Linked DNA regions of Coturnix japonica. The protein of the gene in region 4 purifies or fractionates together with the protein of the main gene of each other region. This does not show direct contact. Links are inferred from orthologs where the notes say so. Each region holds a gene or a part of one and is shown on either strand. Other genes may lie near its edges. The genes, in order: EIF3I, EIF4B, EIF3L, EIF3B, EIF5, EIF4E and EIF3D.

Evidence for each region.
Region 1: the proteins of EIF3B (region 4) and EIF3I purify together in Homo sapiens (affinity purification with mass spectrometry; 12 studies listed by BioGRID and IntAct, counting the BioPlex papers as one, with this or other methods). This does not show direct contact. The link is inferred for Coturnix japonica from reciprocal best matches to the Homo sapiens genes EIF3B and EIF3I.
Region 2: the proteins of EIF3B (region 4) and EIF4B purify together in Homo sapiens (affinity purification with mass spectrometry; 3 studies listed by BioGRID and IntAct, with this or other methods). This does not show direct contact. The link is inferred for Coturnix japonica from reciprocal best matches to the Homo sapiens genes EIF3B and EIF4B.
Region 3: the proteins of EIF3B (region 4) and EIF3L purify together in Homo sapiens (affinity purification with mass spectrometry; 8 studies listed by BioGRID and IntAct, counting the BioPlex papers as one, with this or other methods). This does not show direct contact. The link is inferred for Coturnix japonica from reciprocal best matches to the Homo sapiens genes EIF3B and EIF3L.
Region 5: the proteins of EIF3B (region 4) and EIF5 fractionate together in Homo sapiens (co-fractionation; 3 studies listed by BioGRID and IntAct, with this or other methods). This does not show direct contact. The link is inferred for Coturnix japonica from reciprocal best matches to the Homo sapiens genes EIF3B and EIF5.
Region 6: the proteins of EIF3B (region 4) and EIF4E purify together in Homo sapiens (affinity purification with western blotting; 5 studies listed by BioGRID and IntAct, with this or other methods). This does not show direct contact. The link is inferred for Coturnix japonica from reciprocal best matches to the Homo sapiens genes EIF3B and EIF4E.
Region 7: the proteins of EIF3B (region 4) and EIF3D purify together in Homo sapiens (affinity purification with mass spectrometry; 10 studies listed by BioGRID and IntAct, with this or other methods). This does not show direct contact. The link is inferred for Coturnix japonica from reciprocal best matches to the Homo sapiens genes EIF3B and EIF3D.

Annotation. Positions count from the first base shown.
Region 1 is NC_029538.1:4,527,827-4,532,350, reverse strand, and holds the start of EIF3I (eukaryotic translation initiation factor 3 subunit I), read left to right. Parts: upstream 1-1,696; 5' UTR 1,697-1,724; coding exon of another isoform or gene 1,725-1,737; 5' UTR 1,738-1,811; coding exon 1,812-1,814; exon of another isoform or gene 1,815-1,818; intron 1,819-1,977; coding exon 1,978-2,070; intron 2,071-2,196; coding exon 2,197-2,284; intron 2,285-2,536; coding exon 2,537-2,602; intron 2,603-2,911; coding exon 2,912-3,061; intron 3,062-3,165; coding exon 3,166-3,293; intron 3,294-3,571; coding exon 3,572-3,682; intron 3,683-3,959; coding exon 3,960-4,049; intron 4,050-4,304; coding exon 4,305-4,378; intron 4,379-4,524. Other genes in the region: TMEM234 (transmembrane protein 234), read right to left, coding at 198-259, 705-797, 1,084-1,150, 1,435-1,586, 1,725-1,737. UniProt on the Homo sapiens protein: Component of the eukaryotic translation initiation factor 3 (eIF-3) complex, which is required for several steps in the initiation of protein synthesis.
Region 2 is NC_029544.1:1,104,017-1,108,717, reverse strand, and holds the start of EIF4B (eukaryotic translation initiation factor 4B), read left to right. Parts: upstream 1-1,753; 5' UTR 1,754-1,839; coding exon 1,840-1,852; intron 1,853-3,819; coding exon 3,820-3,963; intron 3,964-4,371; coding exon 4,372-4,580; intron 4,581-4,701. Other genes in the region: KRT18 (keratin, type I cytoskeletal 18), read left to right, coding at 9-232, 907-1,021. UniProt on the Homo sapiens protein: Required for the binding of mRNA to ribosomes. Functions in close association with EIF4-F and EIF4-A. Binds near the 5'-terminal cap of mRNA in presence of EIF-4F and ATP.
Region 3 is NC_029516.1:46,623,666-46,627,326, forward strand, and holds the end of EIF3L (eukaryotic translation initiation factor 3 subunit L), read right to left. Parts: intron 3,236-3,661; coding exon 2,738-3,235; intron 1,999-2,737; coding exon 1,918-1,998; intron 1,156-1,917; coding exon 1,117-1,155; 3' UTR 897-1,116; downstream 1-896. UniProt on the Homo sapiens protein: Component of the eukaryotic translation initiation factor 3 (eIF-3) complex, which is required for several steps in the initiation of protein synthesis.
Region 4 is NC_029529.1:3,185,112-3,189,463, reverse strand, and holds the start of EIF3B (eukaryotic translation initiation factor 3 subunit B), read right to left. Parts: upstream 3,075-4,352; 5' UTR 2,776-3,074; coding exon 2,340-2,775; intron 1-2,339.
Region 5 is NC_029520.1:45,677,739-45,682,165, forward strand, and holds the start of EIF5 (eukaryotic translation initiation factor 5), read left to right. Parts: upstream 1-1,524; 5' UTR 1,525-1,651; intron 1,652-1,829; 5' UTR 1,830-2,023; intron 2,024-3,909; 5' UTR 3,910-4,117; coding exon 4,118-4,189; intron 4,190-4,427.
Region 6 is NC_029519.1:53,872,373-53,876,293, forward strand, and holds part of EIF4E (eukaryotic translation initiation factor 4E), read right to left. Parts: intron 3,536-3,921; coding exon 3,422-3,535; intron 1,727-3,421; coding exon 1,587-1,726; intron 559-1,586; coding exon 444-558; 3' UTR 1-443. UniProt on the Homo sapiens protein: Acts in the cytoplasm to initiate and regulate protein synthesis and is required in the nucleus for export of a subset of mRNAs from the nucleus to the cytoplasm which promotes processes such as RNA capping, processing and splicing.
Region 7 is NC_029516.1:47,227,853-47,230,861, reverse strand, and holds part of EIF3D (eukaryotic translation initiation factor 3 subunit D), read right to left. Parts: intron 2,980-3,009; coding exon 2,864-2,979; intron 2,666-2,863; coding exon 2,533-2,665; intron 1,952-2,532; coding exon 1,804-1,951; intron 1,543-1,803; coding exon 1,412-1,542; intron 925-1,411; coding exon 839-924; intron 662-838; coding exon 532-661; intron 77-531; coding exon 1-76. UniProt on the Homo sapiens protein: mRNA cap-binding component of the eukaryotic translation initiation factor 3 (eIF-3) complex, a complex required for several steps in the initiation of protein synthesis of a specialized repertoire of mRNAs.

The DNA.
Region 1 (4,524 bases), on a different chromosome or scaffold from region 4:
AAGCATCCTTAACTCAAGGCATTAAATAGGATGTCATTGCAATGTGCCTTGTTCCTCTCTGGTACTCAGGGAATTTGATCCACACTTTCAGACAGCCAGGTGTCAGAACAGCTTCCTTGAGGCAGCTGAGCCAAAAGTTTCCCCTCTTCAAACATCAGTTACCTTAGAACAGGTTTCCTCTGCTCACTGTGCCTTGGTCATGAACCAGCTACACAGAGGGTGAGTCCCAGGAGGGTGAGCAGCATCCCTGCCACAGCCCCTGCAGAGATACAGAGTTCTGTGTTGGGAACATACACAGCTCAACACAGTCAGCCCCCATCATTGCTGAATATGTGATTCAGTCAGGAAAAAAGATGGCCTAAATGGATGTGAGCCAAACTGGTACTTATTGCTACTATTCAGTTTTCAAGTTTCCTGTTATTTCCCAACTTCTTAAGCAGGATAATGTTAGTGTATGGACATTTCTCTTATGGTTAAATACATCATTAGGTGAAGGCTCAGGCCTACAAGTTCTGCTAGCTTAAAACAGCCAGTTCCAGCCAATTTAAATTCACTAGCTCTACCCCCTTACAAGTCAGTTTCACTTCCTTTTCAGCTTCCTTGCACAAACTACTGCCTAAGCAGTTACCAGAAGGGAGCACACAACATTAAAACAACAAATAGATGCAGAATACAACGTGCCAAATGTTTTAAGCGTAACTTACTTTTACCACCAATATCCTCTCCCAAAATCCTTCCAGTCACCAGCGTGACTATCAGAGCCAGGGAGTTACAGAGCGGCACTGCCAGGGACAGCTCTGAAATTGAACAATTGTAACACGGTTTGAAATGGATGCGTCCTTCATTCAAAGACATCTACTTGAATCCCCCTGTGGCACAAGTGGTAGAAGTGCCGCTCTGCTACACAGGAGGCTCGAATCCCGGGGGTTGGACTCGATGATCTCTAAGGTCCCTTCCAACCCACACCAGACTGTGATACTATGATGATGATACTTGATGTTCAGCCAGATCACCAAATGAATCAGTAATACAGCTCCTCCCCAAACCCTGATCAACCCACTGGACAAAGCAGTGAGAGCTGACCTGCAGATGCCAAGGTGAGGTAGAAGAGGAGCGATCCACATTGGTTCAGCAGGAATGGCACCATGTACTGCGGAAAGAAGACAGGTCACTGCATGGAAAAGCATTGCAATGCCTGCAGCAAGCAGTGCAAGCCTTGGATGCCATGTCTGCAGAAGGCAGGCAGGTCTGAATGTGAAATATGAGGGTTAATTTCTACAAGTGTCTAAGTTCTCCATAAGAAGAGCAGGACTGCAGGTGGGTAGATGAAATGTTATAGAGTACAAATCATTTTGCTGATAGATGGGAGGTGCTGAGTGCAGGAAGGAGCATGAAGGCCCGTCCCATACACCCCATGATTCCGGCTGTGCTCACCTTGTAGTTGCAGCCCAGGAACCTGATCTCGGCCAGCAGCTGCCGTAGGAGCCCCCGGCGCTGCACGTCCAACAGCCCCGCCGCTCCCGTCCGTAGGAACGGCCCGGTGCTGCCCCATAGAACCGACACCAGCACCAGCACGGCGGCCTGCCCTGCAGCACAACATCAGCTCAGCCCCGGGGCTGTTGGCCCGGCCGCCATCAGCCCGCAGCCCCCTCACACAGCCCACCCCGTCCCCTCAGCCCCTCCGGGATCCACCCGAGGCCCGTCCCCCAAACCCGGAAGCTCACCGGCGGCCGCCATAGCGCCCCGTGACCCGGACGTGATACTCCACGCCTCTTCTCTCTCGCTCCGGTTCCGGCAGCGCCGTGTCCGCCATGGTGAGTCGGGTTGTGGGCCGGGCCGGGCTGATGCGGGTCCCGGCTGGGTCCTGGGGTCGGCGGGGCTCCTGGGCTGATGGTGGTGGCAGCCTGAGCCCCAGCCGGGGCCTCGGCCTCGCTTGGCATAGCGTTAAATGGCGCCTTCCCTCATTGCCGCGTGCAGAAGCCGATCCTGCTGCAGGGCCACGAGCGATCCATCACACAGATCAAGTACAACCGAGAGGGAGACCTGCTGTTCACTGTGGCCAAGGATCCCGTGAGTGAACCGGGGGCACCGGGAAACCGGGCTGTGTGCGATGGGGGGGGAGGGATAAAGGTGGGTAATTAACGAGCTCAGGTAATTGGTCAGAGCGGCTCTTCAAGCCTTTTTATCTTCTTTTAGATCGTCAACGTTTGGTACTCGGTGAATGGAGAACGGCTGGGCACCTACAATGGGCACACAGGAGCCGTGTGGTGTGTGGATGCTGACTGTATCCTTTGGGTGCACAACCAGTTTGTGCTCTCGTTCCTTGCAGTGATTCAGCACGGATGGCTCCATTCAGCTGCTGTGTTTAATTGTCCCTTGTGCCATCTCTTGGTTATTTGTGCTCCTTGGGAAGTTTCCCAAGTCCTGTAATTTCTCAATGTAACGCAGCTTCTTAATCTTGTGTGTAAATACTCCCTGGGTATCTAATGATTTTTGGGGCTGCAAACGTGCTGATATCCCTTAACTGCTGACCAAGGGGACACCCGACATGTGCTCACTGGCTCTGCAGATAACAGCTGTCGGCTCTGGGACTGTGAAACAGGTAAAGGCTCTTCTCTCCCACGTGGCTGGATCTGACTCAGCTCTGTCCTGTTCTGGGATCTGTGCAACATGTGCCTGTTTGCCCCTGAAAGAGCCCAAGTCCTTTCTTGGCTGTTTGTGTATTTGCCTTATTTTCAATGGGCACTTATTCATTTTGCTCACCAAGCACATTTAGTGCTTTCCAGTCACCCAACCTGTCTGTCAGCTCTGATGCTCCTGTTCTTTCTATGACTGCACTTCTGTTTGATTGCTTTCATTAATGTTTGCAATGCAAGACCAAGTGAAGTGATGGTTTCTGCTCCGTGTTCAGGAAAGCAGCTCGCTCTGGTGAAGACCAGCTCGGCAGTGAGGACGTGTGGCTTTGACTTTGGAGGAAACATCATCATGTTTTCCACGGACAAGCAGATGGGTTATCAGTGTTTTGTGAGCTTCTTTGACCTGCGTGACCCCAGCCAAATCGGTGAGGAATCCGGGCCTGTGCCTGCAACTGGGAATAAGGGGAAGCGTTGGCTGCCAAGAGCTGGTGCCACTCAGTCTGTGTGTCTCCATCCTTCCTTCCTGCAGAGAACAACGAGCCTTACATGAAAATCCCCTGCAGCGACTCTAAAATCACTAGTGCTGTGTGGGGCCCTTTGGGAGAATTCATCATCGCAGGACACGAGAGTGGGGAGCTGAACCAGTTCAGTGCCAAGGTCAGTGTGATAAGGAGGAGCATCACCCTCAGGCAGCAACTCTTGGGAGAGGATGTTGCAACGTTCCTGTTGTGATCATGTGGCAGAATGTGGGTTTTTTTGGCTCAAACCAGTGGCCTTGAGGAAGGATAGTTAAAGTATGTGGCTTTCTTCAGCAAAGCTGAACATATATATGCCTACCTTTCTGCTGACAGCAACATCTAAAGTCGGTTTTAGCAGAGAAGTTGTTTGTACACTTTCCTTGCCAGTTCACTTAAACTGCCTCGTTTACCCTTCAGTCAGGGGAGCAGCTTTCAAACATCAAGGAGCACACCAAGCAAATCAATGATATTCAGACCTCCAGGGACATGACCATGTTCATCACTGCCTCCAAGGATAACACTGCCAAGGTGAGGCCTCCTGGGGGGACTGCGGTGCATTGCTGACATCCGCTTGCAGGACCCCTGCTCAAAGTCATGGCTGCCTCAGTGGTTTTCTCTTTGGGAATTTGAGCAGGTGTAGAGCCAAAGCTTAGTGGGAGGGCTGATATTTGGGATTCTGGAGCAATAGCTTTGACATTTGGATGCCCAGGAGTGACTTTAGAAGTAACACCTGCTCATGTGAGGACTGGCAGCTGGGGTTTGCATGAGATACTTGGACTGCCACTCTCTTCCTTTTGCATTTTAGCTATTTGACTGCACAACGCTGGAACATCTGAAGACATTCCGGACAGAGCGACCGGTGAACTCTGCTGCACTCTCCCCCATTTTTGATCACGTAAGCATGAGCCCACGCATACTAACGGTCTTAGTGCAGCTCCTGCATTGTCTCAGGCAGCTGGAAGGCACAGTGTCACCAGTTCAGCCTGAGCTAAAGAATCACTGTGGGACAGGGCCAGGGGACTTGACTGCTGTCATGGGCTGTGCTGGGTTAGTGGGAGGCTTCCCCAAGGCTGGGCTCCCTCCTACCCTGGCTGTTGTTCCACATATGGTGTAAGCAGCACTGCAGTGTTGTGACTTTCTTCCTATGCAGGTTGTGCTCGGTGGTGGGCAGGAGGCCATGGATGTGACCACGACCTCCACCAGGATTGGCAAATTTGAGGCAAGGTTGGTGCTCTTCTCTGGCAGGGCTGAGTCTGCACTTGGAGTTCTCTCCTGCTCCCAGAGCGTCTTGCTATTGGCAGCATTTGGAGAGTTACTAGAATTGCAGAGCTTCTCTGAGGAAACCCTGATGACATCCCTAACCTGCCTCT
Region 2 (4,701 bases), on a different chromosome or scaffold from region 4:
CGCTGCAGAACGCGGGGCTGGAGGGCAGCCTGGCAGAGACGGAGGCGAGATATGGGGCACAGCTGGAACAGCTGCAGGGCCTGATCCTGCGCGGGGAGGAGGAGCTGGCACAGGCAAGGGCAGAACTGCAACGTCAGAACCGGGAGCACCTCGCGCTGCAGGACGCCAAGAGCAAATTGGAGGCTGAGATTGCCACGTACCGTGCACTGCTGGAGGGAGGAGAGGGGTTCAGGTGGGACATTGGGGGGGTGACACCGAAGGGGGACCACTGTGGGACTGTGGGGCATCTGGGTGGGATCTCTGTGGCCCTATAGGGATGGACAGGGGACAGTGAGGGGACAATGGTGGCATCCATCAGAGTTGAGCCCCAGGGCTGGGAAGTCCATATTCTAATCTCTGTCACCCTATAGGAACAGACAAGGGACAGTGATGGCACACAGTGGGGTGAACCCCTTTGTAGTCCTTTAGGGACAGAGAGGGGACAGTGGTGGCATTCGGTGGGGTGAGACCAAGTGTTGGGATGTGCAGGTCCCATCCTTTGGGATGTTTGGGGACAGCAAAGGGGCAGTGCTGGCATTCAATGAGATGAGCCCCAGTGTTGGGATATGCAGGACCATGGCTTACAGGGACAGCAAAGGGACAGCAGTGGCACCCCATAGGGATCCTATAGGGACAGCAGTGACACCCAGTGGGGACAGGGATAGTGGTGGCACCCAAGTGGCCAAGCATCCCAACCCTGATGTCCCCTCCAAGTTCCTTGGGGTTACAGCGGGGTAGGGTAGCGTGGGGCTGAGTGACACAGGGGTGGGTGACACGGGTGGGTAACAGGGTGGACATAGGGTGAGTAACATAAAGGTGGGTGACATAAAGGGGTGTGTGACCATGGGGACACCCGCTGCTCCACAGCCTGCAGGATGCTCTGGGGTCGGAGGGGACAGTGACCACGCAGCGCAGCACCCAGAGGACGGTGGATGGCAAAGTGGTGTCCGAGAGCAAAGAAGTCAAAGTGCGCAGCTACTGAATGGGGACGGCGTGGTGCCCCCTCCTGCCTTACAAATAAAGGAGCAAAGTGAAAGAGATGGGGCTCAGTGTGTGTGAATGGGAAACTGAGGCACAGGGGTGGGAGAGGGAGGGAGAGAGAGATGGTGGAACAGAAGTGGGGATGGATGGAGAGGGGGATGGATGGAGGGAGGGATGGAGGGAGGGATGGATGGATGGATGGATGGATGGATGGATGGATGGATGGATGGATGGATGGATGGAGGGAGGGATGGATGGAGGGAGGGATGGAGGGATGGAGGGAGGGAGATTGAGAGGAAAGAATGGAGGGATGGCAAGAGGGAGGGAGAGGTGGATGGAGGGATGGAGGAAAGGAGAAAAGGAGGGAGGGTGAGGTGGGGAGAGAGGGAAGAAGGGAGGAATGGTGAGAGGGAGGGAGAGATGGAAGGAGGGAGAAGGGAGAGATGGAGAGGGAAAGAAGGGGGAAGGGATGGAGGGGGGTGAGAAGGATGGAGGGAGGGAAGGAGAGAGGAAAGGAGGGAAGAATGGAGGGAAGGAGGAATAGAGAGAGAAGGGAGGGAATGAGGAGGAGGAGGGAGAGGGAGGGATAGATGGAGGGAGAGAAGGAGGAAGAAATGGAGGGATGGAAGGAGAGAGGGAAGAAGGAGGGATGGATGGAGGGGGAGCGCTCATCCCGGTGCCCCCCCCACGTGCGCGCTCCCGCGGCAATGCGCGCTCCCGTGTGCGTCTCCCCCCCGCCCTGCCGGAAGTGGGCGTCGCTCCGGAGATCACGTGACGGCTCCATCCGGGCCTTTCGCCCTCTCTCTGCCTCTTGCCAAGATGGCGGCCTCAGGTGAGCGCCGCGCGGTGGCTCCGGCCCCACATCGCCCCTCGCCCACCCCACACCCACCCCAGAGCGACCCTTCCCCACTCCGCGACCCCACCTCTGCCTCGAGCCTGGGTCTGCCGGGCAGTTGGCTGCGTTACGGGGGCGGCAATGCGGCTCTGCGGGGCCTTCACGGCCGGGAGCGGCCTTCGGGCCTTGCCCCCCCCACACCCCACATAGACACACAGCGCCCATTGGGGGGGGGGGCAGGGCAGGGCGTGGGACTGCGCATGCGCGGAGCTGGGCGGAGGGGGGGGTCCACGTGTGGGGTTGGGAGCGTGGAACGGGAACACGGAGCGATGCGGTGTGTTATATGTGTGTAATGGGCGGGGAGAGCTGGGCAATGCCGGCCCCATGCTGGGGCTGGGCCCTGTCCAGCTCCATATCATCACGTTTGTGCAGTGCTGGGACCTGTGCAGTGCTGTGGTGCTGGCTATGTGTGATATGCAGTGACATCTGGGCACTGCTGGCATCGTGCAGTGCTCCAGCACCACCCTGTGCAGTGCTGGGACCCGTACAGCTCAATATCGTCATGTTTGCGCAGTGCTGGGCCCTGTGCAGTGCATGGTGCAGTGCTGAATGTGTGTGATATGCAGTGACATCTGTGCAATGCTGGCCCCATGCAGTGCTCCAGCACCACCCCGTGCAGTGATGGAAGCTGTGCAGCTCAATATCATCATGTTTGTGTGTGATATGCAGTGACATCTGGGCACTGCTGGCATCATGCAGTGCTCCAGCACCACCCCGTGCAGTGCTGGGCCCTGTGCAGTGCAGCTGCAGTGCTGAATGTGTGTGATATGCAGTGACATCTGGACAATGCTGGCCCCATGCAGTGCTCCAGCACCACCCCATGCACTGCTGGGAGCTGTGCAGCTCGATATCATCATGTTTGTGCAGTGCTGGGCCCTGTGCAATGCATGGTGCAGCGCTGCAGTGCTGGATATGTGTGATATGCAGTGACATCTGTGCAATGCTGGCCTCATGCAGTGCTCCAGCACCACCCCATGCAGTGCTGGGCCCTGTGCAGTGCATGGTGCAGTGCTGGACGTGTGATATGCACTGACATCTGGGCATCATGCAGTGCACCATCATCATGTTTGTGCAGGGCTTGGCTCTGTGCAATGCACGGTGGCAGTGCTGTGGTGCTGGTTGTGTGCAATGCACAGTGATATCTATGCAATGCTGGCCCCATGCAGTGCTCCAGCAGCACCCCGTGCACTGCTAGGACTCATACAGTGCACCATCATTGCATGAGTGTGCTGCTGGGCTCCGTGCAGTGCTTGGAGGCAGTGCTGTCATGCTGGCCCTGTGCAGTCACATCAATGTTCTGGTTTGGAGAAGCTCTGTGAGATTTTGGGGAGCTCTTCATGTTTTTGGACGTCTCCATGTGCTTTTGCTGACCCCCGTGTTGGTTTTGGGGAGCTTTGCATCAGTTTTGGTGATCCCTTTGTGTTTTTGGGGAGTTAAGTGAGATTTTGGGGTGCTCAACATGTTTTTGGGTATCTTCATGTGCTTTTGGCAATCTCTATGCCAATTTTGGTTGCCTCTGTGCTGATATTGAGGAGCTCTGTGCCAGGTTTAACAACCCCTGTGCCACTTTTGGCCACTCCTCTGCTGATTTCAGTGGCCCCTGTGCCAGTTCTAAGGAGCTCTGTGTGATTTTGGTGCCCCCTGTGCCAGTTTTACTGACCTCTATGCCAGTACTGGTGACCCCTGTGCCAATTCTGATGAGCTCTACGCCACATTTGGTGCCACCTGTGCCACTTTGGCAGAGCTCCTCACTGATTCAAGGCAGCTTTGTGAATGCAGGGAGCTCCGCATGCTCCCCTTGACCCCCACCCTCCTCCCCACATCCCATTGCCACCAATGGGAGGGGGGTCATGGGGTGCAGACAGAGCCATGGTGCCGATCTCGCCGCCCCCCCCACCCCGCAGCAGCCAAGAAGAAGAACAAGAAGGGGAAGACCCTGACCCTGACCGACTTCCTGGCTGAGGATGGCGGCAGCGGTGCACCCACCTACATCCCCAAGCCGGTCAGCTGGGCTGATGAGACCGATGACCTGGACGGCGACGGTAGGGGTGAGAGCGAGCCTAGGGCAGATACCGTCTGTTTTTGGGGGGCTACCATCCATGTTGAGGGGTCACAGTCTGCATGAGTTGGCCACCATCTATGTGGGGTGGCCACTGTGTATAACACATGACCACCATCTAGATGATGTGGCCACCACCTCTAGCCCACGGCCACCACCTCTTTGCTCTGGCCAAGCAGCCCATGGCCACCACCTCCACATTGTGCCCACCCTCTTTAGCCCATGGCCACCACCCCCATGTTTTGGCCACCCTCCCCTGCAGCTCTTGGCCACCTCCTGCAACACATGACCACCACCTCCACGCAGTAGCCACCCCCTGCATCCCATGGCCACCTCTTTTAACCCACCACCTCCACGCCATGCCCACCTCCTTCAGCCCACCCATTCTCTCCCACAGTCTCCACTGCGTGGCACAGCAATGATGATGATGTGTACCGGGCACCGCTGATCGACCGCTCGCTGCTGCCCACCGCCCCCCGCGCCGCACGCGAGCCCAACATTGACCGCAGCCGCCTGCCCAAGTGCCCGCCCTACACGGCCTTCCTGGGCAACCTGCCCTACGATGTCACTGAGGAATCCATCAAGGACTTCTTCCGGGGCCTCAATGTGAGTTGCATGGGGGGCACAGCACAGTGGGGTCCTTGAAGATCATAGAATCATGGGATGGTTGGGATGGAAACATCCTGAGAGATTATCAAACCATAGGATGATTGAGTTGGAAGGGTCC
Region 3 (3,661 bases), on a different chromosome or scaffold from region 4:
TCTCTCAGTGGAAATGAATGGAAGGAAGGCATACAAATAAAGCAGATGAAACAGGCATTGTGTAGCTTTGCTGTCACACACAGTTATTTTCTCTTGCATCTGCTGCTTCCACTCAAACCCTGATGTATTTAAAGACATCTGAAAACAGAGAGGGGAGAGGAGGGCTGTGGACATTCAATTCATTCTTTGCATCCTTTTCTCTTCCCCAAAATGTCCTTGATTCCCATTTATAGGACAAGTTTCAACCTTTCTTTCTCTTCCAAGGTCCTGCAGATTTGCCTGGAAGAATCCAAGGTGGCCAGAGAGCTGTGAGAACTAGCACTGAGGTTCACGATATTTACAAGCTTTTAACAACTCAAATACCCTCAGGGATTTTTCCAGAGAAACAACCCCATTACATTATGGGCCAGGACTTGGGCAAAACTTGTGCTGAAATAAAGCAGCCCCCAGTAAGGGCACCTTATCAGATGATCCAAGTTAATGTTAGCTGAGTGCTTAAAAAATAACCTCCCCCTTCCTTTAAAAACACCTTGATTCATTTGGAAACATTTCTATTTCTCAACAGCTAAAAAGAAAGTAAAAAGAAGGGGGAGAAATCAGAGATGCAACCTTCTAGAAAGGCAACTACCGCTCAGGTTTACTCAATGTGGAACAACAGCTAGAAGGAATACCTGGCAGCTGTTACTATATGCTGTGGAACAGCTCATTTTCTCTGTTAACCAGTCCCACAGCCTTCCCTGTTTGCTGCATCCAGTATGTAGGACTAGTCTCCATCTACCTGCAACAGCTTTAGCCGAAGACAGCACAAGCCAACAGCAGCTGCCTGTATTTTGTGATGCAATTATGTTCTCATACAAAGTAGGGGGGGGGGGGAGAGGAAAAAGCGTATCAGTATCTAAATGCTCACCAGGAAAATTCCACTCTTTTATTAGATGTCTTGTTCTTCGCAGAATGGTTTGAGCCGAATGAGTCATCTTATTTAAAGTACAAAAACCTTTTGAGCCACAGGAGATTCCAGAAATGCCAGAACCCTGAGCCTCCCTCCCTCACAGTAAGGAGAATAATCTCCCCCCACCCATTCCTCTGCTCAGGCTGATTGCTGCATCCACGGAATTTTTAGGGTCTCTGGCCCATCTTCTTCAAGGTTCGATTCAGCTGGAATTAGAAGAAAGCAAAACAGTCAGAAAACACACTGATTGGCACACACTACTGTTCCCTTCAGCAGCCCTAATCCAGCATCTCTTCTCCTTTCTCAGCAACCCATTGACAAAAATGCTCTCATGCTGGAGCAGGCAGCATGTGAATCACAAGGGGAATTAGCCAAATTCCCTCCTCCCCTCCAAAAGGACAGCAGAGGAATTAGGGAGAAGTTGCAATGTTCTAACGACGGTACACTAATAGAGAAACCTTCAGCCATCCCCTTGATTCAGGATTTTGCTGCCAAGGCTTCCAACCCACAGAAGCACCTGCTGGGAGAGCAGAGCATTGGCAGCATGTCACCTCCTGGCTGAATGCAATAATCATCCATGCTCCAGAAATCTAAGGCTGCTTTCTAGGCCCTTGGTTATGGGGATATAGACACGCTTTCATTGCACTACTGAGAACTGCCGCAATTATCTAGCGACAAGGGAGTCAGCAACTTCAGAAAGTAAAACCCTCCTCCTCCTTTACAATGAGTTTCAACTGGATGAACACTTCTGACACGCACACAAAAAAAAAACCAACATTCCTCATAAGTGAGCAGCTGCTGCTCAGACCACCTGCCCTTACCCAGTGCCATGCAAAGCTGAGGCACTTTGTCCCAGCAAGGCATAGTACAGCTGTCACACACAGGCATGTTTTCTCCCAGCCATGCGTGGCTCAAAGTCTTTCCCACTTTTCCTACAGAACTATACAGCTGTTCTGCCCAGGCCTCACCTCTTCAAACTTGTGGATCTGGCGGATGAAGAAGTCCCCATAGCGTCGAGCAACCTTTGTGTCTGCAATGTGGATCATGTCCTGGGGAAGGAAGAGCATGAGGTCAGGAAAAGGACTGTGCTACCAGGGGACAGCAAGCACTGCCAAACAGGAGGAGCAACAAAAGGGGCTTCACTCCAGCCCTAGTTCAGCACTGCACACACGCCTGACCTGCACTAGACCTACAGCAAGTATTCAGTTTTCTGTGGGATGCCTTTTGTTTACCTGAGACAGATCCCAAACTCACACTGTATTTATTTCCCACATTCTTTCACTCTACCTATTCCAGCTCTCTGTGCAACAGTTTGACAGTCCCAATCCTAATTCATGCTCTGCTTCCCTCTACCAGCAGCTAAGAGTGGTGCAAACTACTAGGAGTGCTAGGCTGCAGTGCAAAGTCAGTTTGGTTCAGGTACACAAGGAAAACAAAGCACAAATGAGACCTTGCAGGTACAGCTCTGCAACAAGGAGCAATCTGTTTCTCTTATTTGACAGGCAGCAAAAACCTAATAGCTACCACTGGTTTCTTTGACAAATGAATTCTCAGAAGATACTTCTCACTGTGTTGAGCTCCAAGGGCAGGTTGGTGACATGATCATACCTGCACCACTGCTCATCCACTGGCACTTCTATTAATCAGGGCTACAGCTTCATTGTAGGCAGAGAAGTCCTTCACATGGCACAGTAATGTTTCCCACAGATTCAATTATAAGCTGGTGCTGCTTCTTCCAGAATTTCTGGGGTGAAGGAATTTCCTTGTTAGCAAGGAACAGATACCAACCTTGTCAATATAGAAGTCAACTTCAGAGGCAGACTGGAACTCTCCATCCAGGGCAGATATGCCGCTGGTCCATACCAGGTTCTTCATCTTGTGCTTGAAGACAAGCAGCTGGATGCGAAACTCCTGCTCTGTAAGGTCCAAGAAGCCAGCAAGCTTGGCCACGGGCATCGTGGTATAGAGCTTCAGGAAGCTACGGATGGTGGAGAGCTGAGCCTGCTGCTGAACCTCATCAGCAAAGACTTTGAGCTGTTGCAGGAAAGGCTCCTTGTGATAGTTGGGGTGCACGTTGTCATAGTTGGGCACCACAGGGGAGAGGAACTTGGGGCAAGCATAACTGAAGAGCTCCTCATAGACCTGAGCATCACCCTTCTGCATGCGCAGCATCTTATCCCCGTATTTCTCTCGCAGCTGCAGGTGGATGCTCTCATCAATGCGCATAGGGTACATGGTGAGGGCGATGGCAAGGAGGGCGTGCATCTGCTCGTTCTGCTTGTTAATCTGGGACAGAGAGGACAGCCTGTTAGTTTAGCAATGTGCTCAGGACTTACAGTGCGAGAGAAAGCTGCATTTTTCAGAGATGGACCCTTCCTTCATCCTGACAACTGAAGGTCCTGATGCTCAAGGGGGGACAGCGCAAAGAAACAGACAGAATCTGGATAGCCAGAAACAGGTTTGATTGCTTTGGTGCAAGAAAGTGCGGAGGAGCAGGCATAGGGAAGGAACACAGTTTAAGACACACTGTTGAAACAGATCAGTAAGAGGCCAGTGCAGAAAAAAAATGAAAAGGAAGATTCATACGAGTTCAGTCTTCAAAAGCTGTGTAGCTAAACCTTAAACACTACATTATTGAAGTGTCACGGAATGATTTGGTTATGCGAGGGAATTAGAAATGAATCATAAGGATGACAAGGAGACAGCAGCAGC
Region 4 (4,352 bases):
TTAAGCAAGCAGCTAATGAATACAAGAACATCTTCTGTACTCTGTATGTTCTTCAACCATACTAATTCCCCTTGCCTACCATTCTACACGTTCATTCAGTACTTGCTGGTGGGACGGTTTGTTCAGTCCCTGTGTTGTCAGCTGCAAACTTTTCACCAGAGTAAAACTGCCAAAATCTTGCAGCATAATTGAAATCATACAGGAAAAGAAGGGAGAACATTAAGAATGACTGTAACCCAGCAGTTGTGGTTTTCCTATCACACCAAGATTACAGCAGTTGAAAGGCACACAGTACAGCCCTATGTCACACACAAAATTAGGAGCAACAAAAACAGCAGCAGGCTTCTAGACACAGTTTACCTGTGGAATTTTCTGCATACCTTACTCTAAGCTGTATCTCAAGACAATTCCATTTAATTATTTTGTATCCACAAACTTAACCCCGCGGGTAACATAGAATTTAAACACATTTGGGTTGCTTTCCCCTCAACTTCTTTCTACAAAGATGAAAGTTCACCCAGTATGAGCCAAAGACTCAGAAGAAAGGAAATAAGAAGCTGCAAATAAGTTAACTTCTAAGCACATACAACACCTTAGAGTATATTAGGATATCTTGCCATTACCCAGCTAGCTAACAACACACATACACTGAAGCCATTGACAGGTAACCTCTGGCCTGAGAGCTAACAGATGGGCAGGGAAGCATCTACAAAAACTCTAAGGACTGAAAAAAGGAATTTCAAAACCTGATATTATAGAAAAATAATATTTTTTAATTATAGAATCTTTATATCTTTAGTTCTTCTTGCATGTAATATGGAAACATGTCCTCTAAGGAACCAGGTTATTTCCACAAAATCTTATGGGAAAAAGAGAACGATAATCCTGAAGCTCTGAGAGTCTCTTTTTCATAGCCAGTTCCCACAAAAGGCTATAAAAGAAAGGAATGCTTATTTAGCTTAACATGGAAGTAGAGGACATTCTATCCTAAATCAGAACTCTAACAGGTTAAACACATACCTACACTGTGTATCTCCTCTACCTTAAATGCAAAACTACCAACAAAGAAACCTTCAAAGGGCAGCGGCTGGTTCAGCCAGCTCTATTCCCACAGGCCAGAAAAGAGGGGTGTGGTGGGTGCACGGCTATCTTCAGCTGGCAGAATTTTAAGGACCTCTCTCATTATCTGAACTAAAGCTTCATGGCACCTGGGCGATGATCTGACACATTCCTTCTATGGAAGGTGGAACAGCTGTTCTGCTGTGCCAACACCATTCTGGGAAAAAAAAACCAACATAAGTCAAACTAACACCTGAGATGATCCAATCTTAAAGCCAGACTGGTTCAGAATTGTTCCTGAACACGTAACTCTTATCATAAATGTGGGAATATGGAAATAACCTTGAATCAGTGATGCTGATGGCCTGGAATTGATTGTCCTGTGGAGTTATCAGGGTAAAGGAAAAGGAATAAGGCAGCTCAAGAAGTAGAACAGGCAGATAGAAAACCAGACCAGCAGGAGTGACTAAAGTTAAACGCTGTAATTCAGCCACTAACATTGTATTATTCATACAGATGAAGAGTCAACCAAATTAATCCTAAAGAACAGAACAGAAAAAAAGACAGGAAATGTTCTGGGTTCTATCTAAACACTGACATGAATGTGATAATCCCCGATGTAGAGAAAGCATCCAAAGCAAACACTTCACTAGACAAGAATCCAGTGATAAACCTGCAGACACTTTTGGTAGTGTCTCTAAGATACACGTGCTCAAAGTGCCATATACACTACTAAGAATAACACACTTTCTTAATTCAAAATACTTCTCCACTTATTTATTAAGCTAAACATAGGAATGGAACACAAGAAAGCACAATTACCACTTGTATTCCGCCACCAATTCAAACCACCTGCTGACTCAGGAAGCAGTACATGCTTTAAGAGGCATTTTTCCAGCTCTGATACGTGTAACCATTACAGAACCTACAGCAGCATTTACGTCAGAGTAAGAACTGGCACAACAGACAAATGGATTTGCTGTTCAAGAATTGACACGGTTTATCTTGAAAGAGTTGTCCGAAACAGTAGAAATACTGAAGCACCAAAGACAGCTGCTGCCATAACGCCTTATGGGGCCAAACGACGGCTGGGTCATTGTATGACACTCAGTATCCAGCTTTTCCTCACAGACCCCGAGCTGCTCCACACCCGCAGCTCATCGCCCCGTTTCAGGAGGGCAGCGCTGACGGCACCAACCGCACGGACACGCCGAGGCCTCCCCACGTTCCCGCAGCGCCCCGGCCCAGCCCAGCCCGCCCCGAGCCGGCCCCGCACAAACCTTCGTCGCTGATGTCGTCCACGAATCCCTCGGGATCGCTGAACGAAAGCTCGTCCTCGGGCTCGGCGGGCGCGGCCTCCCCGTCCTCGCAGGGCTCGGTTGGCGGCTCGGCCTCGGCCTGGGACTCGCTCTTGGCCTCCTCCGACGGCGGCTCGGCCTCGGGCCCGGCCTGCGAGGGGCTCTCCCGGCCGGACGCCGACTGAGGGGAGGGCGGCTGAAGCGGCTGGGGCTCGGCGGGGGGCTCCGAGGCGGCGGGTGGCGGCTCAGGGGGCCCCTCAGAGCCGCCCTGTTCCTCCGGCCCTTCTTTCTCCCCTTCCTCCTCCTCCTTCAGTTGCTGCTGAGGCGGCGGCTCTGTCGGCGCTCCGTCGGCCCGCTCGGGTTCCTCGGCCGGGTCCTGTGCGCCGGGCGGCGCGGGGCTGTCCTCGGTGCCCTGCATGGGGTCGGTACGAGGCCCCACCGGCCGCGCGTTCCCAGCTCGAGAGCGACGGGAAAAGGAGCGGGGGAGGGGTGGGGAGGCTCCTACCGCCGGGCCATGTGCGCCAGGCCCCGCGAGCCGCCGCTACCAACGGGAGGGGGGGGCCGGGTTAGAGCAGCGCTGCCCGATGGAGCTTCCACCCGCCGCTTCTTTCTCCCTGCTCTTCCCCAGAGCGATCGCCGCCTCCTTCACCGCTCACCCCTCCTGCTCGGCCAGCAGCGCCGTCCGTCCTTTCCGAGCCCTCGCGGCTGCGGCTCCCCCTGCTGCACTGCTTTATGGTTCAGCCCAACATGGCGGCTCCTGCCCGTCCGCTGAGGTGGGGTTGGACCGAACCATTTCTCGGGAGGCCAAAAGCGGATCGTGTCTCTGTGCTCAACCGGGCGGGCGGCGACCGAACCCTCCGTGCGGTGCCGGCACTTCAGGCCATCAAACGTCCTGCACCGGGCAGGAGGAAACAGCGAATCTTGTCGCCTTCCCCCCCGCGGATCTACCGCTGTGGGCCCGTCCAAAGGCGGCGGGGCGATGGCGGGCGCTACCACAGCTCGTGATGGAGGGGCGGTGATGCTGGGCCCGGCCCGGCCCTGCCAACACATCGCCGGCTCAGTGAGCTGAGCTCTGTGTCCATTAAACCATTAAACCAAGGACACTTTGATCCCGATGCAAAGATACGTCCGAGTGTGTGCGGTGATACATCCACAAACAGAGAACACAGGGCTTTTCTTTGATGCCGTCAGGTTTAAGCGATGGCTTTGGAGGGAAAAAGCAGTTATTGAGGATTTAATCAGAAGCCGCTCGGAAAAGCTCGTTTTGTGATTTATCGGGCAGCCACAAGGTGCCACCCGAGCTCCATCCGAGCGCTGTGAGCGTCGGATCCCTCTTGAAGCCGCGTTTATGAATGGAAATGATGACTGGCCCCGCTGTGTGACAGCACTGGGCCGGGCTGTGACTTGCTGGGTTTCAGCAGCAAGTAGGAAGTAAAGGAAGAGCTGCTGCCTGTCCTGCTTACTAGCACGTTTTTTATCCAGATAGGAGGACATGCTGTGCTGCAACCCACAGCACCAGCTGCATCCTCACCATTATACGGCTTGTCCTTTTGTGACTCGGCTTTTGCAGCTCCTCACAGTTGCCTGCATTGCTGGGATAGACAGATTTCTATATGACCTTTCTTTCTGTTTACAAGCTATCAGCAAATTTGAATGCTGGGTCTTTCTTCCCTGTCATCTGTTTGAACTTTCTCTTACTTTACAGCACATTTTAATCCTTCCTTCCTTCCTTCCTTCCTTCCTTCCTTCCTTCCTTCCTTCCTTCCTTCCTTCCTTCCTTCCTTTCTTCTTCTTCTTCCTTTCTCCATCTTCCCCTCCATTCCCCTCTTCCTACCTTCCCCTCCCGTCCCTTTCCTCCTCCCTCCTCCTCCGTCCTCCTCTCCCCTCTCTCCTCCTCCTCCTCCTCCATCCCATCCATCCCTATCCCTCCTCTTCCTTCTTCCTTTTCTTCTTCCTCCTTTCCTTCCTTCCTTTCTTCCTTCCTGTCCCCTTCTT
Region 5 (4,427 bases), on a different chromosome or scaffold from region 4:
ACAAACTTGCATAGCTCAAGGCTGAACTGAGCTACAACAAAGCATTTCTGTGATAAGGAAACACACACTCTAATTAATATCCACTGCTGAAAACTTCCTTCAAACAGGAAGGAAAAGCTAGGTACCAAGGAGACAATAATCTACCATTGTAGTCTGTTTTCTATAATGCAAGAGAGTATATTCTAACTTTCCTGCATGGGTTCTGCTTTTGGCAGTACGGATACCATCTGAAAAGGTAACTCTTAACTTGATGTCAGATTATGCACCATCAAATTGTAGAAATCCCTCTTTACGCTACTAATCATAACTGCTCAGTTATTCATGGTGTCAAGCAGCACCAGTTCCAGGGGCTCGTTTCCCTTCTGCTGTTCAATAAAGTGGTGTTGGCAGCAATATGCTTTAACACTTGCAATTTATTAACCTCAGAGGTGTAGTAGCATGTCAGTAAAGCCACAGAAAGGAGGCATTTAGTAAGTTATGCACGCTGCATATTTTTACAGCTAAGGAGTTCCTGCTGTGCTTTTCTTGCCTCCCACATCTTTATGATGATTTTTTCCCCTCGTGATAACTGCCAAACCTCATATCCTTGGGAGAGTTATTCCCTTGTTTCGCACTAACCCTCTTTCTCATGTTTAAAGAGGCGCTGCTGTGTGTTTCTCAAGGAAGCATTTAAAATAACCTGTTACATTTTTCAGTAGCTCCAAGTCCAAACCAGGCTTACAAAGTGTTTTACAGGACATCATCCTGCCTACAAGGATGTGCTATCGCATGGGCTGAAAGGAAACCTATAAGTAGGGCAGCAGTGATGATGCAGATGATGTAGGAGGGTCTTGTAGGAAGATGGTGAAGAATATCACAGAATCACAGAATTATCAAGTTTGGAAAAGAAGATCATCTAGTCCAACCATCACCAATACTTCCAGGCTAAATCATATTCCTCAGCTGTATATCTGCTGTAAGACACAGCCATAGGAACTGGGGCCTTGTGGCGCTGCCTGGCAGTCCTTAAAGCACTAAGAGCTGATGGAGGGTTGGTTGTGAAGGACACTTAGTAGGTGATGGGGCAGGGCTGATTTAGATGATCTTAGTGGCCTTTTCCAACCTTAATGATTGAGTTTTCAGAAGCTTTTTGCCCCTTGAATGTTTGGAACCATCCAAAATACGTAATTCTCATTGTATGGGAAGGCAGAAGACTGGAAAATAATAAAGGGGAAGGCCCCAAAAGCTCATAGCTTCGAGGTATACACAAGGCCAGGTAGGGTCCCAGCAGAGGGGCTGAGGGCAGGGTTGGCCCCTCAGCAGCAGGAGAGCGAAGCGGCCACCCCCCTCAGCCCCGACCCCCCGCCCTGACTGAGCCCCGCGCCCGCCGCTCCCCGCAGCGCCATCCCGCGCAGTCTCGCGAGACCCGGCCGCTGTAGACGCGATGTCCTTTGGGGCACTGGGGGGGTGGGGGGGGGAGGGAAGCGAGACGAGGGGTGGATTGATCGATAGCGGCTTTGACCAATAAAAGAGAGGAACGGAGGGCCCTGAGCCAATAGATTCATCCCAGGGCGAGCGGCGAGCCAATGGAAAGACTGGGGAGGCGGGGCGTGCCGCTGGCTGATTGATCCCAGCTTTGGCGTTGTTCAGTCAGAGCGAGAACATTCTAGAGGTGAGTACGGGGCGGCCATTGCTGGGGTCCCATCAACCGCCCCCTTCTGCCCGAGCTGCGCGCCCGCCGCCGCAGCTCCCTCCCCCCCCTTCCCTCTTCTCCCCCTTCCTCCTCCTCCTCCTCCCTTTCCTCTCAGGATCCGGCGCTGACGATGCCCCTGGTTGTGTCTCCTCCTCAGATTGTCCGGCATTGCTGTCCCTGCTCATAAAGCCCGTCACAGGACGCCCGGACACGGAGGCTGCGGCGTCCGCCTCCGCCTCCTCCCCCCGGCCGGATTATAAGCGCCGCACGGCCTCGTTCTCATCGCACACTCGGCTTCATCGCAGCCCAGGGCGAGCAGCGTTGGGTTTATGTCTTTATTGGACGAAAACGGTGAGTGTGGGGGTGGAGGTGGAGCGGGTGGTTGGGCCTTGGGAAGGGGCGAGCGGGCTGGGCTGGGCTGGGGCGGCCGTTGGTGGACGGGCGGCTGTGAGGAGCCGTACCAGGGACCCGCCAGGAAGGAGAAGGAGATAAGAGTTGACACATTAACCTCTTACCATCGTTGGTTTGATGTTCCCGGTGGCTGTTTAGCGTTATTTTTTATTTTTCACTCGATATTTCCCCCCCCCCCCTGCGCCATGCGACGAGACAAGATGGCGGCGGCCGGGCCGCGCCTCCCCGCGCTGTGGGCGGTTGTGGGGGTTGGAGCTGTGGCGCAGATACAGGCTGAGGGGGGAGGGGGACAATGATCCACAGCGGGGGGGAATGGGGGGAAATGGGGGGAGAAGAGCAACAGGAGCATCCCCCCCCCCCCCACTTTAGAGCTGGGGAACGCATGCGCAGTTGGAGGTTCCCCCCGGTCTATTCCGGGGCTGAGTCAGTGCTTAATTGCTGCATTTATGACTCATCACGGGCCCGATTGGGGCGGGGAGTGTTGCTGAGCGCTCTGCCCTCCCTCTTCTTTTTTTTTTTCCCCCACTCTGTGTGCGGCATATTGGGGGGGGGGAGGGTTGCTTGCTTGGGAGGAGGAGTCCCAGGGAGCAGGGGAGGGAGCTGCAGCCCGCAGATAGAAGCCGTGAGCTGGAAGGAGGGGAAGCGACACGTTAGCTCTGCGAGCTCACAGAGGTACTGCTTCCTCATACTGCTTCCTCAGCGCTTCTCAGGCACATGGTCGGGTCACATGGGGGCTCTTTTTTAGCCACTCTGAGGAAGGACGGCTTGTGCTGAAGAAGGGTAAAGCTGTGTTGGGACTAATACATAATACATAGTGTACACATAATCTGTTTGCTCCTCGTGGAAGGATTTGTAAACCTGAACAGAGCACAGAATGGCACTCTTACACAGGAACATGGAGGAGTCTGTTTTAATGTGTCAACACTCGTGTGTCATTAACGATAACACGGTGACGTGTCAAAGTGAGCACGCTGCAGGCTGGGCTGCCAGCCTAGTCAACCAGTTGTGGCTTACGTAACCTTAGATCTGATTACAGGGGCGCATGTTTATTTAAATATGTAAATACTGCTTAAGGCAACTTTAATAACAGGATTCATCCTCCTTCCCCCGAGAAAAAAAATGAACTGGAGAAGCTGTTGCACTGCTCTGTACCTCTCTGCGCTGCTAGGCTTTCTATAGTGAAGCAGTTTATGTCAGGATTTATCAGGCTTATTATTAAGTCAAAACTCCACAGAAGCTGCTATGAGAACCTGTAAGTGAGAGGGAGTATCACCTAATTTTCCTCTCCGAGCCAGAAAACTGGTAAGCCACGTAATAGTACTATTGGACTGTGGATTGCTGCTGCTTCAACTTAGGGATATTTCTCAGCTTTCTGACAATCCGCAGTTTATTTAATAGGTTCATGTGATGATGCAGAAATTGAGTCTGGTGTTCTTCTCCCACTTCCCTTTCCACTTTAGCGTGGACCGTACCACATGACCTTAGTGTAAGAGCCCTTGGACTTCATTAATCGGCCAGTGTTCCTTTTCTTACTGATCACAGCTGTCTTGCGAGTTAATTGTACAGAAAATACTGTTCATTTACCCATTGTTTTTTAGGGAGTAAGGTAGAAGAGAACTTAAAGTTCTGTAGTGTAGGTGAGGAAAAGCTATTCAGCAGTGCAGTTCAGGGCTATTGTCTTCAGCTTCACAGGCTGAAGAATGGTATATAATAATGAACTTAGTTTCCCTACCCATAAATATAGTTCCTTGTATAGCTGCATTGCAAGATTTTATTGGTGTATGTTACAATGAACTTATTGCTTTTCTGTCTGTTGATGTTTGCAGAGCTGTTGCGCAGCCACTGGTACCTGTATTGGGGAAACATAGCATACAAGCAAGAACCTTACAGCCTCAGTGGCGAAAATTTTTTCATGTCAGAGACCGAGAACTCTTGCAGTCGTTTATGTCATCCCGTCTTCTCCAGACAGAAGATACCAAAAAACTGCAATCAAAGATCTCTTCATCTTATTGATAAAGCTACTAATAAGGCAAAATGTCTGTCAACGTCAACCGCAGTGTTTCAGATCAGTTCTATCGCTACAAAATGCCCCGTCTGATTGCCAAGGTAACTTAATAGCTATTAGTGATAAGTAGATAGGGTTTCACATTGGTTGCTTTCTATATAAAGGAATGGAGGTAATGATATCAACCCCAGCCAATCATAGGGAGCAGATGTCTGCATCTTTCTGTCTGAACTAATTGTACATTAATGCCTCTGAAGTAGAACATTCAAAACAGAACTTAAGTGTAGTCAGATGGGAAATACATGCTGGGTTGGGCTGCTGTGGTCTTTCTAACTTAAG
Region 6 (3,921 bases), on a different chromosome or scaffold from region 4:
TGTATGCACCATACTCTTTTCCAAACCAGCAAAATGTTACTGCATACAATGCAAATGTAAAACAGAGTAATTTCCTGCAGGTACAGAAATGCAACTTTTCTGAATACTGTGGATCAACAAATGTTTTTTTGTAATAGTAATGTTTCTACCAAGCTATTACAGAGTGGGCCAGGAAAACATTTATGACTTGGGGTTTGGGGGGGGGTGGGGGGGTTGTACTAAAATTCTGATCGGTAATGGTTACTTCAGCCAAAATAGAAAAAAAAATGAACACAGAAGTACAAGACAAAGGCGAATTAGACTTCTCACAAATCTTAGCAACATTTAGATGGAAATCAAATTTAAATGTAGTCCACTCTGCTTTTGAAGAGGCTTTGGTTCAGCTCCCAAATCTCGATTGCTTGACGCAGTCTCCTATGAAAGAATACTCAGAAGGTGTCTTCTTAAACAACAAACCTATTTTTAGTGGTGGAGCCGCTCTTAGTAGCTGTGTCTGCATGGGACTGATAACCAATCACTATCTTTGGAGGAAGTCCTAATCTTTCCTTGTATACTCTCCTGGAGAAGAGAAACAGAAGAATAACTTAAACAATGCTCTTCCAAACGATCTTTAATGGAGGCATCTTAGCTGCTAACAACATATTAAACTGCACTCAACCTTACATCAAACCTAGCAGATATTTTCCATCAGCAGATGTGTACCACAGTTGGTTGTTTGTTGTTAGTCATCTTTCAGGTCTCAACAAGATCATACTGTAATTAGACACTGTAAGTATGACCTCACCAGATTCAGAAGTCCAAGTGAAGCACATGCTAAGAGCTATCCTGAAAGTCACTATGCCTGACAGTTGAATTTTGGCTTAAGACTGATTTGCTGAACTGGAAACAACCTGTGTAAAGTACTGTAAATATTCAAGAGGCCTTCAGTGACTGAATGAAACATTAGGTAACTTTGAAACATTATTATCACAGCAAAAAGAATCCACAGGTTTTAGCAATACGTGTTAAATAGCAGACTAAATGTATTCTCCTTAACAAAGATAGCCATTGTCTTTTACCAAAACAAAGACCAGGACACACCATTTTATGTGTCAGATCCATGAAATCCAGAATTTGGTTTGTGTGTAAATAGACAAAATGAAAACCAGCTCTAATCAAATACAAGAACATGCTGGTGAGCTTCATCTCCCATTCCTAAGCATCCTTTTCCCCAAGACCAAGCTTACCAATGCTCTCTATTGTCAGTAACCAGCCAGCCTTACAAACTGGCATGCTGCAACAGAATTTACACCACTTACAGAAACTACTTACAATACCTCATTATGAAACTAAAAGCTCCTGCCAAGATCTGTGTTGAACTCTTGATTATTTCTATGCTATAGCAAATAGAGTACAGATCAATGAATTTGCTGATGCAAGCCCTCAAAAACTAAACAGTAAAGCAAACAACTTCATTGTGAGTAACTTGAACTTGGGATACAGCTCTGCTCAGGTTACATTTGCCAAAAGCTCAGTTTTTAAATTAAGTAGCTTTAAATGCATTGTTACACTTCACATTTGTTTGAGAAACAAATCACATTACTTACCCTATATGCGTAACAGCATCCCTGTTTTCACATTCAGTTGTCCATATTGCTATTTTATCACCTTTAGTTCTAACATTAACAACAGCACCACATACATCATCGCTGTAGTCATCAAATGACTCCCCAATAAGGCACAGCAGCTACAAAATAAACATTAAAAATTAAAGTAGCAGCTCCAAGGCAGAATCCTGCTCCACAGAACACTAAGTGCATGAAGAACTTTGAGGAATGTTATGTCTCATAGCCACTAGCCATACAGCAACAGTATTCTGTTGTGTCTTATCAAAGTTCCAAATGTTACAAGTGATCCTAAGCTTAGTTGGCAGTAGCATCTTCCTCAAGTTTCTCTTCTGCTTTGACAGATGATCACTTATGTCTCCCTCTCAGTCCTCAATCCAAATAGGTGCAACAATTAAAGGAACTCATTAGTCTTTATGAAGTACATAGACAAATGGAAAACTTTAGTCTACATTCATAAACTGGAAAGAACCTGGGGAAAAACTATTTGAGCAATGCATCATCTGTCTAAGATCTGACTTCGATTCTGAAATGCATCAGTTCAAATAATACAGGATTGCCTTGCCAGATTTCTAACGGCAAAGTTTGGAAGTGGCAAAAATGATAATGTGATGTGAAGTTTCTAAGGAGTTATGTCACTATCTGAAAGTGATGCTTCAAGTCTTCAACTTTCAACTTGCGCAACACAAATTTAAATATTCAAAACTGATAAGTTCTTGTAGTTATTGTTCTCCACACTGAAGTACTCCTCTCTAAATGGTCATTTCTTTGACTTCACTAGCACATTACATTTTAAACATACTGGTCATTATCATTAACAAAATCAGAGTTTTCATAGAATCATAAACTACATGGACTACGCATTTCCAATCCACATGAAATGGCTATCAGGAGTCAGAAGGACATTCACATATGTTTAAATTGAATGGTCAAATGTGCACATCAAGAGTTTCGTCTACTCACGTAAAACCATATTTTGCCCACTATTATAATGTCTAATCTTCCTTTCCTCAAATCACAGTTACAGTGACCAGTATCAACTTAAATGCTTTTGTATTTTGGACACCCTAACCTTGATTCCAAAGGTCACTCTTCTCTTTTATGAGGAATAATTTCTTCTCAAAAAAGCAAAGAAAAGCTACTTCGATTAGTTTAGTTTTGAAGAAATTGCTTTGCATTATATTGCATATAATAGCTGTCCCTAAAAAACACAGATTGTATCTTTTAGAATACTTAATTGGTTCCTAGGCAGTACAATATGTATTTTTTCTACAATATATCTACTGCAACCCACAGTATCTCTAAAAGTACACTTAATGTTTAGGTAACAGCAATGGGAAAAAAGCATTTTTCATGGTATACAAGAAGATTTTGCTATTCCTTCCTCACTCCTACATTAGGACAAGCATAGAAAGAAGAAAAGACAATTCTGAAACTTGCTTCAGCAAGATCAAAACCTCGCAACTATTCACCTGTAAGAGAATTTGTGAACAAATAATTACCTGTAAGCAGTTAAAATAAACTTAGAGACCAAGTATTACTCTGATAGTTGTGCAAATATGCTGAGAACATTCTCTGGGAAAAGGTATATAAATAACAAACAGAGATCAGGAAAATTCTCTAAGAACATAATAGCACGCAACTACATCAACCACCATTTTGAAAGATCGTGTTTCAAATGCAGCCTGTCAATAAATTGTAGGAATAATATGTCGGCATGAAACTGTAAGTCCAAACTGGCACACAGGAATAACAGAGCAGTTAAAATGCTAAATGCAAGTTTCTTCAGCTGCAACTTTTAAGGCCACATTACTTACTGTCTCTAGCCAGAAGCGATCAAGGTCACTTCGTCTCTGCTGTTTGGTTAGTGTAATTAGCCATCGGCCTCCTCGCTTGTTTTTTTCATCTTCCCACATAGGTTCAATCCCATCCTGGAAAGAACAGTCAGAAGTTAAATCAGACTTCACTTATACTTTTCCTTGGGTATAACCAAAGGACCAACAATAACTGAAACAGCACCAATAAGTATAGTTTGAGATACATACTTGTCTAGTATGAAAATACTAGAAAGTATTTTCTTTCTAGTAATACCTCTGGACCAACAGTAAAGTTCCACAACTGCTTAAAAACCACACCTTTCCTAGTGTTTTTTTTAAGCTGTCGTTTCCACGAAAGATTGTCAGCCCAAGCTGAAGCTTTAGCTACACAGTAGAGCATGAAATATATTGCAAAGTCAATCATCCACCTTGCCCTCTCTGAAACCCGATAAAATTAGCAGCCGCATTCTGGAGTCTTTATTTTAAGTCTTGGACTCAGC
Region 7 (3,009 bases), on a different chromosome or scaffold from region 4:
TGTTTTTCAGCTCTGTGGCAATCACGGCTCCTCTCTGTGAGTCAAGCTTCTGGCGCCAGTCTACTCCATTGCAATACTAACGGGAGAATCAAAAACAGGGTGAACCTAACAAGCCAGCAACAATTATCTCTTCAGCAATTGCATGGGGAAGCTTCTTCTATCTAAACTATGATACCGTAACTATGGAATGCAAACCTGTACTTGCAGAGAGAGCCCCTGCACTGGAAAGGGAGAAATGCAGTAGCAATGGCTAGGAGAGGAAGTCTGCTAGGGACGGTTAATGAGGGCAGCACAGATAAAGATCAGCTACTGCACAGAGCACCTGGGAACAAGAACAGGGTTCAAACCAACTACCTCATGCCTGGGTAAGGCTTAATAGCACTGCTAGTCCACCAAAGCTCTGCATCTTTGACAGAAGGTAATAACTCAGGGGACACCACTAGATGTTTGTCTCATCTTGCCTGCTATACCTGGCATGTCAGGCAGCAGTGAAGCAGTTAGAGCTAGCTTTGGGATCTTGTTCTTCCTCACCCTGGAATCCCATTCGTTCAGAGTTTTGATGTTGATGAATGACACTTCGCCGTTAGCCCCTGTCATCACTCCATCATGCTCGCAGCGGACAATGAGATCTATGTCATCTCCCAGCTTCCACCTTCGGTACCTGCACACACACAGTCCAGGTCATTGTTGATCCTGGTTCTTTGCCAGATCTTTCCAAGTACTCAGCAAAATCCTTTCACCCTTTATCTGTTCACTGGTTTGGATTGTTTTACCCTGCAAACCACGCTGATATCCTGCACCCTTGTCAAAGCTTGGAATAAGAGATGCATCAACATACCTGTAGGCAACAGAAGCTACTTCGTTCTTATCCATGTCATCCTCCACAAAGGGGTTTGGGTTGGGAAACTTGTATTTCTCCTTTCCCTGTGTAAGGAAACAGAAAGGCTTATTAGTAAAACAAACAAGCAAAAGAACAAAACAAAACTTAGAGCTCTCCTCTTGGGTGAATATTCTCTTACAGCAACAACAGCTGACTTCCCTTACACAGAGAAGACACTAAAAGATTTAAGACAACAGATGCAAATTCTCCTTTCCATGGTAACCACTTCCCTGTGATCATTACTCCTCTTAGCACACCAGCTTTAATAAATGTAATCAGAAGCCTGCCCACTTTACCAACAGGAGTGGGATTTCCTCTTTGTAAAATAAAGGTGAAAATCATTTTATAAGAGTCACTTTGCTCAACATAAGGAATCCCACCTGTTTCAAGCTGAGGTAACATCAGTGCAAACTACTTTTACCAATTTAAACACTTTTGTGCTGAGCAGCAGCATTAAGCAAGTCTGAATAAAGTCTCATTTCCAGACTCTCCAAAATTCAGACCTTACTGCCCAGGACTACTCGGCCTTACCATCCTCAGACACTGCTGGGAGAAGTTATGGTTGATGTAAGTTGCTTCCATGGCAAGGTTGCGTGGAGAATTAAAGGAGTTGCCCTCTTCCTGTGGTGGTTCATTAGCTGTTTCACTCACTGTCAGTAGATCTGAGAACAAAACCAGTCACATGCTGTTACACTTGAGGAGAATCTGTATCGGCTTCAGTGAATCTCTACCACACATGCTGAGGCAGATCAGCATTGAAAGTACTCTCACAGTTAGCAACATATTGCAGCCATCAGTTTGCTCCAGGTGTCTCGGTCTTGGCACTGAGACACAGAATACATTAAAAAAACAACAACAAACAACCACCACCAGAGAAGCATAAAGAAAAATGAGACAAATTTTAATTCAAGAGTTTTTCTCACCAAAGTCTGAATTGTCCCTCTTGTCAAAGAAAAGCTTGGATCCAACTCTCTGGACAATGATGTCCCAGGAATACACAGAGCGAGTGCAACTCATCAGTGTGGCCAGGATAGCATCTGTGGCAAACACATTCCCTTGAGTCTTGGCCAGCTACGGATACAGAAAACACCATATTTCAGCAGCACTTACAGACATACCTTTCCTTTCCCAGCCAAGATCAGAAGTGCTAGCAAACCAGATTGTGAATTTCTTCTTCCATACTGAGAAAGACAGACTGCTGGGTACACCGTTGACAGCTATGCCAAGTGTGGAGTACTACCTAGTAATCCAGGCTCACCCTTGCTCTCAGACAAGCAAAAAGAAATCTACTACAAAATGGAAATCTACTGTGAAAGGACTTGGTTCCTTACTGACAGAGTCATAAGGAGCAGTCCCTGAGCCTTCCTCATCTACAAAAGCAGAAAACTCTAGAAGCAGCTTTCCAACACTGAAGTTCCTTTTCCAGCACTGTCCAAGTACTCGTTTGTTTGCCTTTCATTGCTCAGTACTCCCAGTTTTACCCTGTCCCAGCTTACCTTAGGTCCAAGGAAAATAACAAGGTAATAGTTTCCCCTTTGTAAGCTGAGAGATGTAGATTTTTCCTGTTTGTCTTTGGTCTGACTGTGACAGTTCTCAAAGCACAGCATGCAATGAAAAGCACGCTCTTGGATTTGGGAAACCAGTGAACATACCTTTCGGATAACTGGGTCATCAGTAGTAGTGACTGTATGGAAGATGCGCTTAATGCTCCTCAGCAGCTTCTCATTCCTTGTTGTAATGCGGTCAAAGGCTTTATCATAGTATTCTAGAGCTCCACAGCACTCTCTACAGAGAGAAAGGACAGATCATCTTGGTCACATAAACACCTCCACTGACAAACCACAAAGGACTAAGGGAATGGTTGGGTGTTCTACCACTCCTGGCTTTGCTTACTTCACTGGGGACACTGGGACCAAGCCAAGAGACCCCTTGCTTTCCTGCTATCCTGTGCTGTCTATTCAGGAAACTGTTTTAGGAACTTACATGTCCTGTGGTTCTGACACTTCCAGGTAGCGCATCTTCATCAGTCGAGGGAAATCCATCTCTTCTTTCACCTCCCAGTCACTGCGAACTTCCACAGAGGAATCACGAGGCTTCTGCTGCGCGGCCAGAGGTGAAAAGGGTAAAGG